Linked DNA regions of Schizosaccharomyces pombe. Changing the gene in region 1 together with any one later gene gives a genetic interaction. Each region holds a gene or a part of one and is shown on either strand. Other genes may lie near its edges.

Region 1 (10,153 bases):
TACCTGCTGAAAGGTTCGTATATTTAAAGAAAACGACTAATTGATATTAGAAACCCTCTCTATAAAGACGATACACTTGACCGTACGCGCTTCCCGAAATTACGTGAAACTAATATAGCAGATACACCATTAATCCCAAAGTGTCGCGCTCAGGTAATAGAATTTCCTGATGGACCAGCTACTTTTGTTCGTCTCAAGTGTACAAATCCGGAATCTAAAGTGTAATTATCTTTTTTTTGCAGTGTTGTTTTTGGAAAAATACTAATGATGTATATAAATATAGACCTCACTTTCTTATGAGGATGGCAAAGGATTCAAGCATTAGTGCTACGTCAATGTAAGCGTTTTTTCATATCTTTTTCTAAAAATCTAAACCCGATTAGGTTTCGTTCAGCTTTCCCTAAGGCTACCCAAGAAGAAGAAGACTTGGAAATGAGATGGATTCGTGATAATTTAAACCCAATTGAAGACAAACGTGTTGCTGGACTATGGGTGCCTCCTGCAGATGCCTTGGCTCTTGCCAAAGACTACAGCATGACCCCGTTTATTAACGCCTTGTTAGAGGCATCCTCCACTCCTTCAACTTATGCGACTCCTTCACGCCCCACTGCGCAGAAATCAGAGACATCTGAGGGGGAACCTGAATCTTCGACATCTGCCACTACCACTTCTGTTGCTAGGCGCACACGTCAGCGTCTTGCTGAACATCTGGAGAATTCCAAAAAGACAATCCTCCAACATGATAATAAAGAAGAAGACAAGGAAATACATTCCGAAGAGAATGAAACGAAGGATGAAATTAAGTCTGAGAAGAAAGAGCCAGAAATCAAGAAGCAGGAAGGCGGTAGTTCTACTGAAAAAGTAGGTCAACCCTCTTCTTCGGATGATAAAGCAAAAGGATCAACCTCTAAAGATCAACCCTCTGAGGAGGAGGAAAAAACATCTGATATCCAAGATAGAAAGATTAAGACACCTATCAAGCCTTCTCTTCTTGGAAAGATTAGGTCAAGTGTCAATAAGGGCATGACTGACGTTGCCAGTCAAGTTAACAGAGGCATGACCGATGTTGCCAGTCAAGTTAACAAGGGCGTGAATGGTGTTGCAAGCCAGGTCAACAAAGGCATGAATGGTGTCGCTAATCAAGTTAACAAAGGTGTAACTGGTGTTGCAAGCCAAGTAAGAAAACCTGTCGGAAAGTTGGAAAAGAAGTTCGAGAATTTGGAAAAGAGCATTGGGGATACTTTGAAATCTTCCATTCGATCCTCTCCAAAGTCAAAGAAGAGAAGTAGAGAGGATTTTGAGGAAAACGAGGATTACAATGCTATGGTACCTGTGAAAAGGTCGCGTATCACCAAACTGGAAAGCGAAGTTTACTATGAAAAGCGGAAAGTCAGAGCACTTGGTGGTATTGCTATTGGTTTGGGTGTAGGGTAAGTATTCAATGATTGTGATAATTGGTCTTTTCCCTGGATTTAAAATCATTTACTAACTATCTTTCGCAGCGCAATTTTACCTTTTCTATTTTAATTTAATAGGGCCCTTTACCATTTTGAAACTACTGGATGTTAGAATTTAATGTGACATATGTGCTTTAATTTGTTGATGTAGTTTTTCGTGTTTAATGTGAAAATCAATTGACTTGATGACTTTTTACTTACTTTCGATTATGATTTGGGATTGGAGACCTGCTTCAGATTGATTTAGGGCTGAAATAACTTAATTTCCGATTGATTCTAGTGCACTATTTGGTTATCTTAATGTTTTATCACTTATATGAAGTTGTTTTAGTCCTGGGAAGTGTATTGTTTCCAATTTATTGCGGAATGTGATTTTTCCAAGTTATATTGATTACTGTACTTTGCTTTAGTTTTGTTTCATTAAATTTTCCTATTTTAAACTTATCTAGCAAAATAGCAAAAAGTAACATTTGTACGACTAACGAATAACTAACTACTATAGAAAACTAAAGAGAGTCGAAAATAGAATCTTCTTTTACTATGAAGATATTACAAATGTGCATTGTTTATATTCCAACTTCAATATTTCTTACTTCATAAGTAATAAAATTCGCTCGGTTTACACCCTTAACATACTATATTCAAGGTTGAGGACAAAGTTTTGGAAAAGTGCAATTAATGCTTGCGATTTGCCTACCATACAATAATAAATGCTAGTGATCAATTTTTGATATACAAAGGAGAAAAACAAGAGCATTTTCTTCAATTCTGATATTCTCCACATTAGATTATATCATCAATGTCCTCTCAAAAGAGAGCAGATTCCTCAAGTTCTTTTGATCAGGCGGAACGTCGATCTTTGGATGAAAATGAAAGGAAAAAAAAATATTTTTTTAATAGAGAAGGTTCCGGTATTGATAATTTTGAAACGGACGGTATGGTTTTTCAAGCTTCGAAAGCATTTGACTACTATTTACTGACAACTTTTAAAGACAGAGTTAATGAAATAATTAACGAGCAAAATGAAGAAAACGTAATTGATCAAAGCCGTTGGTCCAAGTTGTGGAGAATATGGAATGTTGGTTATTCATGGTTTATTCTCAGTATCATAGGAACAACAGTTGGGTTTGCGGCTTATATGCTTGACATAGTTACCTCTTGGCTATCGGACATACGAAGGGGATATTGTACTAGTCATTGGTATTACAATGAGAAATTCTGCTGTTGGTATAGCGAAACTATGGGTATGTTCAAACATGACTTGTACAATGATCTAACGTTTCAAGGTTCCTCGTGTACTGCATGGAAACCCTGGACTTACAAGTTTTCCCTAAATTACCTTATATACACGGCCTTCGCTTTACTTTTTGTGTTATGTGCTGCGATTATGGTAAGAGATGTTGCTCCTTTAGCAGCTGGTAGTGGAATCTCAGAGATTAAATGTATCATAAGCGGTTTTTTAAGAGATAGTTTCTTATCTTTTCGTGTTATGTTGGTAAAATGCGTTGGTTTGCCATTAGCCATCGCTAGTGGTCTTTCCGTTGGGAAGGAGGGACCCAGTGTACATTTAGCTACTACCATCGGGCATAATATATCTAAGATATTCAAATATGCCAGGGAAGGATCTATTAGATATAGGGATATTTGTGTTGCTTCTGCTGCTTCCGGAGTCGCTGTTGCATTTGGATCCCCTATTGGAGGTGTGCTTTTCGGTATTGAGGTAGGAAAGTTTATAGAGATTTTGACTAATTCTTTTAAGGAAATGTCTGGTGGTTATGACCCAAAAATGATAGTATATTCATTTTTCTGTTGTTTATCGGCCGTTGGTGTTTTGCATATGCTAAATCCATTTCGTACAGGGCAAGTTGTTTTATTTGAGGTTCGCTACTCTGGATCCTGGCATTTTTTTGAGCTTCTTTTTTTTTGTTTTCTAGGAATTTTTGGAGGTTTATACGGTGAATTTGTAATGCGCTTATTTTTCTTAATTCAAAAACTACGCAAAAAATACTTGTCTCGATGGGGTGTTCTCGATGCTGCTTTTGTCACCGTAATAACATCCTTGGTAAGTTTCTTAAATCCTTGGTTACGTTTGGACATGACCCTTGGGATGGAATTGCTTTTCCAAGAATGTAAGTCAAGTAGCTCACCTGAGTTAATTAATCTTTGTGACCCTTCTCTAAGGACTAAAAATACTATTTTGCTTTTGATTGCTACATTTGCAAGAACAATATTTGTTACCTTCTCGTACGGAGCCAAGGTTCCTGCTGGCATCTTTGTTCCTTCTATGGCGGTAGGTGCCTCGTTTGGCTATATGATTGGTTTGATAGCAGAGATGATTTATCAAAGGTTTCCAAACTCAGTTTTATTCTTAGCTTGTCATGGTTCTGAAAGCTGTATCACTCCAGGTACCTATGCGCTCCTTGGAGCAGCAGCTTCTCTCAGCGGTATAATGCATTTGACGGTCACGATCGTTGTTATTATGTTTGAATTAACAGGTGCCTTAAACTTCATATTACCTACCGTACTTGTCGTGGCACTTGCAAATTCCATTGGCAATATGCTGGGAAAAACAGGTATAGCTGATCGTAGCATTGAGATTAATGGATTACCCTTACTTGAACCAGAAAAATCCATTAATAGCTCCAATACCATAAATATACCCATTACTGAAGTGATGGCTAGCAATTTAATAACCATTCCTAGTATCGGATTTACATGGAGAAAGCTGTTAGGAATGATGGAAGGTTACGACTTTAGCGGATATCCTGTTGTTTTAGATTCACGATCTAATTATTTAATAGGCTATCTTAAGAAATCATCACTGAAGAGTTCTTTTGAGGCTGCAAAACTAGAGCCTTCATTTACTTTTGATCAGCAGTTGTGTTTCGGAAAGGTTGATTCAGTTGGCGATAGTAAGTCCTCTAAATTCGGTGAATCAGATAGAATAGATCTTTCAGCGTATATGGATGTGAACCCTATTTCTGTATTACATACGCAGAGCATTGCAAATGTCGCTGTTTTATTCGAAGTCTTAAGTCCAAGTGTGATTTTTATCGAAAAAGACGGAAATTTAGTTGGCTTAATCTCAAAAAAGGATTTATTACTTGCATCCAAATATTACCAAGAAGATAATGATTTAGTGAATCCTGCTAATCGTCATCGTGCAGTTTCTACAGAAAGGATCAACGACAGCTATGAAAACATAGAACTAAAGCCCTTAAAATTAAACATAGAATGATAAAATGTAATAGTTTCATTGAAGGGAGAATTAAGTATGGCTAAAAAGTTGATGCTTCAATAGTACGAAAGCAAGAACTGTATAAACGAAAGTGACTAAAATCGATAACGAAGTTAATTTCGGAAGACATAGTCTATCAGAAGGTGTAAAGAAATATACGGTACAAAATGAAAAAAGTAGGCTCATAAAGTAATAGCAAACCAATTAACCGTTGAAAGCTTTTCAAAAAAAATGAGAAGAGAAATGACGAAGTAAATAAAAATAAATGGAAAGCATAAATTGCGACTTAAAAACAAACTGAGCTTTTTAAAGCAAATCTGACATTTTAAGCCATGTGAAAGAATTAATGGCTATAAAAAGACCAGTTTTCGGGGAAAGGCATTTCAAATGCGGTATAGAATTTATCTAGACAGCTCCATCCATTATAATCAATGGATTCATAAGGATCACAGTCGCATTTAGCGCGTGTAGCATCATCCAAAGGACAATGACCGCTACCAGGATGCCAATAGCCAATCTCATTGAAAAAATGGATATTGTCACGATCAGCGAACAACGAAACAGCAATGCTATGAACTGGAGCATCACCCCAACGCTCATAGAAGAAATTACCACTTTTATCAAGGTAGTCAAAATATTTACTATAAACTTCACTTTCCCAAAAATCAACTTTCGCAATTTCAAAATTAGTCCAAAAATGACATCCGTTATAAGTTTCCCCATCATCATTAGATATGAAGTTTAGAGCATTATTAGGATGAAGAGCATTAGGGTGCATTTTGATGAATTCTTTGGTAGAGGGCCAAAGAGAAGGAATTGTTTCTGAATATTCAGTTACAGTGATAGTGAATGCATACGCCTTGTTATTTTCCTTCATATAAGCAAATGGATCGAAATCGAGGTCGCAAAAGAAATCCACACTAGGTTCAACTCTCCAATAATATTCGTACTTCTGAACAAGAGGATGACGATAAAAGAAACCAGACTCAAAGCGACACATGTGACGATAAGATTCTTTGTCAGCATAAAGAATTCCTAATTCTTGAAGTTTTTTCCAATTTTCATGCATTTTGTCTTGGTCAATATATTCCGGAATGCTCCATTGTTCCTGAGGTACCAAACCAAATTCACATTTGCCAGAGACCGCTTCAATAACATGCTCCTTAAATTCGTCAGAGAACTCCTCATTGTTAAGGAAAACCCATCCATAATGATATTTATGATTGAAAGTCTTCTCAAGTTTTCGGATTGATTTAAGTAAATCATTCAAATCTTCATTTCTTGCCAACGTAACAAAGGCAGCATTAACCCGTTTATTTGGAAGCCATTCGGAGCGTTCTGAGGGCTCTAGATTAGAAATATTGAAATACGAAAGAGTATCTCGATTGTCAATCAGACTGCCCTCAAATACACTGATAGTTGGGATGTATTGCTTTTTGAAACGTACAAATACAACCAATGTAAGTAATACCACTAAAAGTAAAACACGTTTGAACTTTCTTGGCAAGCGAACCATTTTGCATTAAAAATAGAAATGCTATATTTATAGATTCTGTAAGTCGGGTAAAAAGTCTTTAAAGAGACCGTTATTCTTCTAGTACAAAAAAATGAAATAAACAGCCGAAGGAAAACCAGTGAAATTGCAAGTTTTGATTTTCACTATAGTACTTCGAATATGGCTTCCAATAAACCAATAGATAAATAACCGAATGTGAACTAAAAGTACACTGGAGAAGGAAACAATTGAATCCTATGCAAATTATTAAATGTAACTACTTTGATAGTAGTAACTCTACAAAGCTAATATATAAGTCCAAGCACCAGTCAGTAAATGAAGTGATTGCTATGTTACTCAAAAAGTATAAGTAGAAAATTAAAAAGAATTTCTCTATGTTGGTTATAAGGAAATTCTAATAGTGAGCAAGCTTTTATCAATTAATGGTGGTGGCTGAGTGAGAATGGTGCAGGCACAGTTACAGTATTTACGTTATTGAGTTGTCCAAAGTAAAATTAGACCGATCGATTCTTTGAGTTTTACAGTCTAGCAATTATTTATTATACATACTTAAATAACATTATTTTAGCAAAAAACTAGGCTAGAAATCAAGTTGAATAAAAAGTTAACATTTCTGAAAAAAATTTTTTTTTTCTAAATTCCTCTGACTGTTCATAGGTTAAAGGCTATAAATCAAAAATTTTCAGTACTATCATTGTACATTTCAACTAGATGGAGAAGTTTCGCTTACACCAGTATTGCAGATCGTAACGTCAGATGTCTGTAATAATACTTTGTTTTTAGCATTGTACATTTGACAGTTATGGTTAACTAGGATTACCTTTCCTCTAGGACTTTAAAGATTTTATCAGCTAGTTCAAAAAGAAAAACGGTAATGTAGCAACTACTTGCCTTACATATTTGTTAATATATATCTCCCAGATATTATAGGGTAGGCAAATTTATTGAATGCACGTTCAAGTTGTCTAAAGCTAAGTCAAGCAATTACGTTTTTCAAAATTGAAAGAAGAAACATAATTATTGTAAGGTTAAGTGAACAAGCAAGTAGACTTATTAACCTATGCAAATATTGCTTTTACTTAAGAGGAACAGAACTGATTCATTAATAAAATCAACATACAAGCGTAATTCCTTATAGCAATAACGGTATATTTTCTTATACATCTATAGAGAGACGTATATACTGTTATAGTTAATTAGAATTGGCAACTGAGTTAGCTTACTAGTACGATAGATAGGAAATAACGTATCTTAAAACAAGTTAGTGAATTTGTACTTGTATACATTTTAAATATGCCAGAGTACAACGCAGGACGCTATAAAGCACTGATACATCGCGCGGTTTCGTTATTGCATTATTTGTCTGCTCTACGAAGTTAACGACTTACCATCCTTTTTAGCTACGAATAAAATTTGCAAGTCCTAACATGTTAGCTCGTTCTGCCCTTCGCTCTGGTTTCCTTCCCTCTCTTACCTCATCTGTAAAGACCGGTTTCTGTTTGAAGGCAGCAGCTCCTACTTTATCCATGAAATGGAGCGCGGTAAAATATTACTCAACTAAACACTTTACTAAGGAACATGAATGGGTTAAAGTCGATGGAGATGTTGGAACTGTAGGAATTACCTCTTATGCTGCGAATGCTCTTGGTGAAGTTGTATTCGTTGAATTGCCAGAACCTGAGACTACCGTGAGTGTAGGTGATGGCATCGGTGCTGTTGAGTCAGTCAAGTCGGCTAGTGATGTATATTCTCCAGTGTCTGGTACAGTTACTTCTATCAATGAATCTCTTGGTGATTCACCAGATAAGGTGAGCTCGTCTCCCGAGGAAGAAGGTTGGATTTGCAAAATCAAGTTATCATCACCTGACGAATTGAAATCACTATTAAATGATGAAAGTTACGCTCAATTTTGCAAGGAAGAAGACGCGTCCCATTAAATATGGTTATGTTAAAATTCCGTATGACCTACGAAGTTTGTTCTAGCTGGTTTATGTATTAATTACAACTTCAATTTTTTGTGATTGATTTACATATTCATCAAACTTTACTGGTTTTGGTTGTTTTGTTTTTTCATATATGAAAGAATAAAGCAATAACTCAGTTACAGCTTTTCAATAGTCTTTGAGACCATTTCATCATGGGCTTTTAAGACAATTTTATTTGTTGCACTCTAAATACCCTCTTCCTTCAACTGAAGAGTCATAACATCGCTTTCTTCTTTTTTTGTCGGGTCAATTTATAATGCATGGTGCATTCATTCTATCTGTATTGACTACGGCCTAAAAATACATTTTTTCCCAGACATACTGTTTGCTACTTTAGAGACTTAGCCTTCCATAATTGTACTAATAACTTAATAGAATTAAATTACAATTTCAACATTAAACTATAATCTGATAAAGTAATTAAGCGAAAGAAATTAATTGCATACTTCTGCTAGGTTGTAAATATTATAAATAGTAAGCCTATATTAAATGGGATAAATTAAGCCAAAAAGGCGAAGGCAGAAATTAGCATAACAACCAAAGCGAGAAGTCCGCTGGGAGAAGCATAATGCACAGCAGAAGAAGGAATGGTAGTTACGTTGAAACTAGTAGTGTTTACAATAGGAACAGATGTCGGGAAGACAGTAGTACTATTATGAACTGCGACCGAAGTGACTGAAGTGTTGAAGTAGCCGGTAGTGAATGTAGTGTTATAGAATCCAGTAGTGATAGGATGTATAGAACTCTCCGTAGTAGTAGGTACGAAGCTAGTAGTGTTGGCATGAGTTGTTGGCGGTACAACAGTAGTAGTGTTGACATGAGTTGTTGGTGGTACAACAGTAGTAGTGTTGACATGAGTTGTTGGTGGTACAACAGTAGTAGTGCTGTTAACATGAGTTGTTGGTGGTGCAGTAGTAGTAGTAGTATTCAAGCTAGTTGTAGGAGGTACAGTGGTCGTAGTGTTCATGCTAGTTGTAGGTGGCACAGTGGTAGTGGTAGAGTTATGGCTAGTCGAAGGGGGAGGTACAATCGAAGTAATGTTCGTGCTTGTTACGCTGTGGGTGGAAGTCTCAGTACTTGCACTGCTAAAGGAAGTAGTCGTAACATTAGCACTTGGTAAAGGAGTAGGCGTTACAGTTGTAGCAACGTCTGTCGTAAAACCAGGAGTATACTCCGTTTGTGCCATTACGGCTGTGACAAGCAACAGAAATTTGCAAAGGACAGAGAACTGCATCTTCTTATTAAATGATTAATGAATTAAAAAATAGAAGGATAAAAAATGCTAAAGAGTGCCTCAAATACAAGTTCCAAAAGACCAATTATATTTTCCTGGCTTTTATTTGCAAGCAAGCGAAATCGGATTAATGTCTCAATTTCAGTAGCACAAATCGAGAGAACGAATACCTCGATATATAGGTCAAATTTTTACTGACAAATTCTTACAAAATGCAATTCGGTAGACAAAATGACGGGTGAGTGATCCCATTGAAAATAAATTGTTCAATCAACACATAATAGTCCCCTAATAGTCATATATGACATTTCTATCAATTCAAATACGAGCGTCATTCCATTTTTTCACATAACGAAATGAATGCACAACTTACCTGTGGAAATGAATTAACGATGAGCAGACTTTGGGACTGCATATGATGAAACATAATAACAATTCAAGATAATATTTGAAATTAAATAAAGCTATTCACCGTTATTCCCTAAATGCGAAGTATCTAATGTGCAGTTTTACCTTTAATGTAATGGTTAGGTATTGAAACAGTAGTAGAAACGTGACATAAGGGATGCGTCGCAAAGCAGTCAACTCCTTTGTCGGATTATCAGAAGATGATTAAAATTCATTCTTTGATAATTGCATTAAGCTCCAACGCAGGTCTAAATTTTTTTTACTAAGAAATGGTAGCTCCTTAGTTCGGGCAATTTTTATCCAACAAGACGTTTC
Region 2 (5,594 bases), on another chromosome or scaffold:
AATTAACACATTATTTTCAGCATTGATTGGTGCTAGACTCTGGACGTCTGAACCCGAAAGTCAACAACTGGGAATGATTGTTGACAAAGGCTCTGATTTCCCGCAGGTGATCCTCGATGAATTAAACGATTTACATACTGGAATTGTATACAGAGAAACGCCTTGGAGAAAAACTACATATGGTTACAACCGTCTCAGGGACAATGGTTTTCGATTGTTTGAATACCTTACACCTAAAAAGCCAATTCGTGCTCCTGATCTTTTGGAAACAGGATTGATATATGCAAAAACAATTCATATTATTACAAATCCTAAAACATTTGTCTCTGTGTGTGAGGAACTGGCAAAGTATGGAAATCTAAAAAATCGTCCTAAAATCGTATGGGAGCCAACGCCTGAATCCTGTTTACCGGAAAACTGGCATATTTTACAAAAAGCCTTAAAGTATTGTGATATATTTTCTCCAAACGAGGTGGACTCTGCCAACCTTCTGGGTATAGATATTAGCGAAAGCAAATCTCGAGCCAAAGAGTTTGTATCTGCGTTTCAAGAATTCCAAATTGGGCACGATTCTCAAGGATGGGTTGTTCTTCGAAATGGGTCCGATGGTTGTTTAATTGGTGCATGCACGAGTAGTACCAACGCTACAAGCGATGCAGTTGTCCCTGTGCGAGAAATTCTTCATTTGCCAAGTGTACAAATGAAAAACGGAAGCGTTTTAGATACCACTGGGGCTGGTAATGCTTTTTGTGGAGCTGCAATCTTGGAGTATTATAGGACGGGTAATATTATAGAAGCTTGTGCTAAAGCTACTGTAGCCGCTTCGTTTGTCATTCAACAACACGGTTTGCCGGCACACACGAAAAATAGTGAAGGGATTGACTTATGGAACGGAGAATCAGTCTTTCAGAGGTTGAAAGAATACTATGAATTTTTAGCTTCTCATGAAGCTTCCGCCATCAAAGAACTTACGAAACGAGGTGTATAGGTTGCTCTTACAACACAATATAGTCATCTTTTGCTACGAAGTACAAATACTTAATAAGATTATTATACCATTTATTACAATACGCAATTTCGTTGCATTACAATTGGGATTTTCTGCATCTAGGTAATCTAATACAAGAAATGCTCTTGATATTTGCAAATATGATATATATTAGTTGACAGAACATCGGTTGAAGTATCCGATATGAACCGCTTCGTTCACAACATTCAACTAAGCCTCTGCACCAAAGAGCCTGGAACTCGTCAAAGCCGCCGTCCGTCGTATCGTGAGAGAAGATTCTTCAAAAATAATCAATAGTCAGAATTGCATGGTGGTTTGAAGTCTCTTACATATAATTTATAGTACTTTATGTTTTCAACTTAGAATTATTCCACAATTTATAAGTAGTACTACACCTTATTCTGCTTCCCCACTAATGAGTTTCGGATGGTGTTGAAAAGCTAATTTCATGAATTTCAAGCTTTGGGGTTTAATGCTTCTTGACAAGCCTACGGAAGTTCTCCATGTTGTAAGTGGTATTACATTTGGGCACGCCTTCAACTAATAACCGGCACTTTAAAGTATGTGGCTTTGCTTCCTACCCCTTAAACTAGAATATATATTTGATGTCGCTCAATAAATAAAACAAATTTTCATACATTCATGTTATTTAGCTATTTGTGCTTTGTATAAAATACATGTCTCATCACTTTACTATACACAAGTCGCCACCCTTTAGTAAGTCCAGTAAATTTTCAATAGAAAATTGGATGAATATCCTTCAAAAACCAATTTTTTTTCATTTCTGGAACTCCTTAACTGGGATCCTTTGTATATGGAAATTTATTATATTTTGTTTTTAATTTGTTTAGCAAACTGTTCTTTAGCATCCTGCTGCTTCATACTAACTTCAAGTTTAAACTGCGTGTTACTTAAAATTCGTTACCCGATCACGTCTTGTGCAATCCTTTACCACTACATCGCAGAAATATCTTGATGATTTAGCAATTCATCCGTTGTAAATATATAATCTGCTGGCCATTTATTAAACTATCATTTTTTTTTCTGTGAAAATCAAAGCGTTTAGCTGACGCTGTAGTATATTGAGGCTATTCTGTTTTTTTTCATGTCGAGTTAGCGATTTGCGCTTGTATACTTGTCTACCTAATTTTGCAATTTTTCCTAATCGTTAAAGGGTTTTCTCTTGTGCTGTCCTTTAGGTTACTTCCTCATTTCGATCTGTGAAAATCTCATTTGTCGCACTCTCTCCTCTCATTTGTATTGCTTAATGCCCTTTTTGACGTTGCTTAGCTAACAATTATATTGTACTAACCATCAATCTTCTCAGACTTTTATCCTGCGCATTATTCCAAAATACAAAATTTTGTATCAAGAAATTCTGTCGTTATCTGATCAAATCCTGTGAAGCACTGGATTAACTTTGACGACCTCAAGTCTTAATTTTTTCGTTTATTAAACGATACTTTTGGTAATTAATTATTCATTCCACTAATAAATTTCACACCCTTGGTGTTGCTGGTTTATCCAATTTATTACTACAAACCAGCTTTACTCTACTATTCGGTCAAAAAATTCACGTTATAGGCTTTTTGAAAAATAATTTGTCTAACCATTCAATTAAAGAGAGTTGGTGAGTCTTCAGACAATATTTTTGAGAGCGTACCGTTCCAAAAGTTAATTATTTGATGAATTTCATCGATGGAGCGTCAAAGGTCAGAAGAAGCGAATCGTAGATTCAAAGACTTGAATCCTTCTTCTTTATACGATAACCTTTCAAAGCCGGATCTTGGAGGCTCTAGCGAGTTGCATACGTACATGAATGACACTTCGCTTGCTGATATCCCCCTTTTTGAGGATACTCTTGCGTCTGAAGTTTCTTCTTCTTTAATTTCCAATCCTTCTAAAAATAATATTCAGCACCTCCATCCCAACACCTCCGAGCCTTTTAAAACGTCTTCAAAATCCGATGAATATGATTCTTATCCTCGAACCGGGAATGTACCTACTTTTTCATTTACAGAACTGAACGATACTTCAGTCAGTGGCTTCGGTAGTCAAGCGGTATTTGAAAACTCCGTTAGCCCTTTAAGTAATCCATCAAATAGTCCGCAAGCATTTGACTTGACTCAAGGTTCGAGTTCTACTCATAACGCCAACGACTTTACTGTTAACAATGTTGGCTCAAGACGACAATCCATTTATGAGTTTAATATTGGTATTCCGTCTTCAAATATCGATTCTTCTCAGTTCTTACCAGTTTCACGTGCAATTGCGGCTTCTGAAATTTCTCCATCTTCATCGCCTCAGCTATTAACATCCTTCCTTCCCTCAGGATCTGTTTCAAATCCGAGTTCTCCATATTTACAAGGTTCTGTTGGTGCTCTGTATGAAGCCGATGCTTTTAATTTTGTTGATGTAATGTCACAGGCATCTGGAACTGAAGTTGATTCAGAGAGATTTCCTTCTGTTGATTTTGAAGATCCATCTTTATTGATGGAGAATCAACAAAATATTACCGGAACCGGTTCTTTTGCTGACTACCTTCAACCACCTTCTTCCGGGAGCCTGGGGGCCTTTACGAACGCGTCTCCTGGTGAAAGCAACACTGGTATAGATTTTGATACGGATAATACCAATTTGAATCCTTCCGTTGATTTATTGTCTAACCATTCCACACCTTCTTTCATATTTGAGAACAGTCCTTCCGCTGAATTTTCTCACCAGTCATCCCCATATCTTGTTCCAAACTCCGGAAGGACTTTAAACAGCGAAAATGCTAGAGAATCTACTATTCGTTCTGTAAATTCTCCTTTTTCTGAGGACCATGCAGATGCCTCTTTAACAACACACGTTTTTGACCCTATTTCTCCTACCGCTTTAAGCAATTCCGTTTTGAATTATGATTCAAACAACTTTTCGGGTACCCCACAAATTAATGTAGTACCTTCATCTCCTTCCAAATCCCAATCTGGACCTAGTTTGCCAGCAAATCCTCTTCTTCAAACAGACATTAGTATCACTTATAGCCAGTCTGCATCTCCAGTATCTGGTCAACCTGCTATGAATGAAAATTCTTATGACTTACAAAACGCTAATCTTTGTGCTCCTGAAATGTCACCCACATATACGGCTCGTCATCGATCAAATAGTGCTGGCTCACGATTTGATGCTTATGAGCCCATACCTCAATTATATACTCACTTTTCACATTCTTCTGAATGTCTATCTGTTAACCAAGATACCGAACTGCTGGGAAAAATAGAGAATGATAATTCTAAGTCGAACGATTATTTGTCAGTTAGAAATACTCGTCCTCGAAGTCGATCATTGAATTCGCTAGTAGGAAACAAATCGGAAAATTCGTCTTCGTCTAAAGCAAAGTCAGAGTCTAAGTCTCAAGGAAATTACGTTTGTACATTTGCTGGTTGCAATAAGCGTTTTACTAGGGCTTATAATTTGAAAAGTCATATGAATACACATACAAATTACCGTCCCTTTCAATGTTCGATTTGTAAGAAATCATTTGCTAGACAGCATGATAAACGGAGACATGAGCAGTTACACACTGGCATTAAAGCCTTTGCATGTGTCACTTGCAATCAGAGGTTTGCTCGCATGGATGCACTTAACCGACATTATAAAAGTGAAGTTGGACAAAATTGTCTTCGCACGGCCACAGAACGAGGAATTCAAGTTCCGCCATCCAGAAAGACAGCAGTGGCCTCGACAAGCAAACAAAAATGATGTTTTAATTTCCAAAGCAAGACATTTTGCTTGCACCTGTGATTAATGGGTGTCTAACTATATTTCCTTTTGCAATGTGATGCAAGTATTTGCACAGTTTTGCATTTAGGGTTTTGTATTATTTTTTATCTTTGATGTTACGTTTGGCTTCGTTTATAGTTTATTAACTTTTTGCCCTTTTTAAAGAGAGTTGACATTGTTTATACTTAGTGATTGATTTTACCCCATCGTTGATCCAAAATACGGCTTTTAATATTAGATTTGTTTAAAATTAATTATGTTTTGGGTATTGAGTTAGATTAATTTAAAATGTAATAAGACCTGCAATTCTTCTAGTACAATTATTTTACTGAAACATTAGTTTAACGTATACTTTTTGTATGCTTCGTGTATTCTTAAACATATACCCGTCGACCAAGAGTTGTTTACATTTTCGCTTAGCAAACCTTTTTCATAACAAACATATATAGTTCGGAATATCTCGTTATATCTTCATCGTGTAATCCATTGCACACTGAAGCAATAAATCCCGTGCTTTATCCATTGAGATTAAGGATGTTTAAAAACCGTAAATATGCTATAATTTATACTTTTCTCCTAATTTTACGCTTTTGGTTTTCGCAAGGCAGCTCATACATACATCCGGATGAGCATTTACAATCGTTTCAAATATTCGCAAGTATATTACAATTCTTCAACAATTTATGACTAATATAAAGATAAATTATTTGGCTGGAAAGTGGAACTTCCATGGGAATTTACTACTAAAAAACCAATTCGGTCTGTAGTTCCTTTGAATGTGATGCTTTTACCTATTTTCTTGCTTTGCCGGTGTATTTGC

What was found. A genetic interaction does not mean that the proteins touch.
Region 2: of omh1 (region 1) and prz1, changing one suppresses a phenotype caused by changing the other (phenotypic suppression), as found in Schizosaccharomyces pombe (one study listed by BioGRID).

The regions. Positions count from the first base shown.
Region 1 is NC_003423.3:2,840,885-2,851,037, forward strand, and holds omh1 (Golgi alpha-1,2-mannosyltransferase Omh1), read right to left. Parts: upstream 6,646-10,153; 5' UTR 6,212-6,645; coding exon 5,039-6,211; 3' UTR 4,696-5,038; coding exon of another isoform or gene 3,217-4,695; 3' UTR 3,178-3,216; coding exon of another isoform or gene 2,744-3,177; 3' UTR 2,702-2,743; coding exon of another isoform or gene 2,450-2,701; 3' UTR 2,393-2,449; coding exon of another isoform or gene 2,257-2,392; 3' UTR 2,017-2,256; downstream 1-2,016. Other genes in the region: integral nuclear inner membrane protein Bqt4, read left to right, coding at 1-13, 51-82, 122-221, 284-337, 384-1,430, 1,503-1,527; SPOM_SPBC19C7.11 (ClC chloride channel), read left to right, coding at 2,257-2,392, 2,450-2,701, 2,744-3,177, 3,217-4,695; gcv3 (glycine decarboxylase complex subunit H), read left to right, coding at 7,639-8,148; SPOM_SPBP19A11.02C (uncharacterized protein), read right to left, coding at 8,696-9,430. UniProt on the Schizosaccharomyces pombe protein: Mannosyltransferase involved in O-glycosylation of cell wall and secreted proteins. Plays a major role in extending alpha-1,2-linked mannose in the O-glycan pathway.
Region 2 is NC_003424.3:786,278-791,871, reverse strand, and holds prz1 (calcineurin-responsive transcription factor Prz1), read left to right. Parts: upstream 1-1,959; 5' UTR 1,960-2,707; coding exon 2,708-4,753; 3' UTR 4,754-5,094; downstream 5,095-5,594. Other genes in the region: SPOM_SPAC16C9.01C (carbohydrate kinase), read left to right, coding at 21-988; smp3 (alpha-1,2-mannosyltransferase), read left to right, coding at 5,309-5,432, 5,473-5,594. UniProt on the Schizosaccharomyces pombe protein: Involved in the regulation of calcium ion homeostasis. Binds to the calcineurin-dependent response element. Transcriptionally regulates pmc1.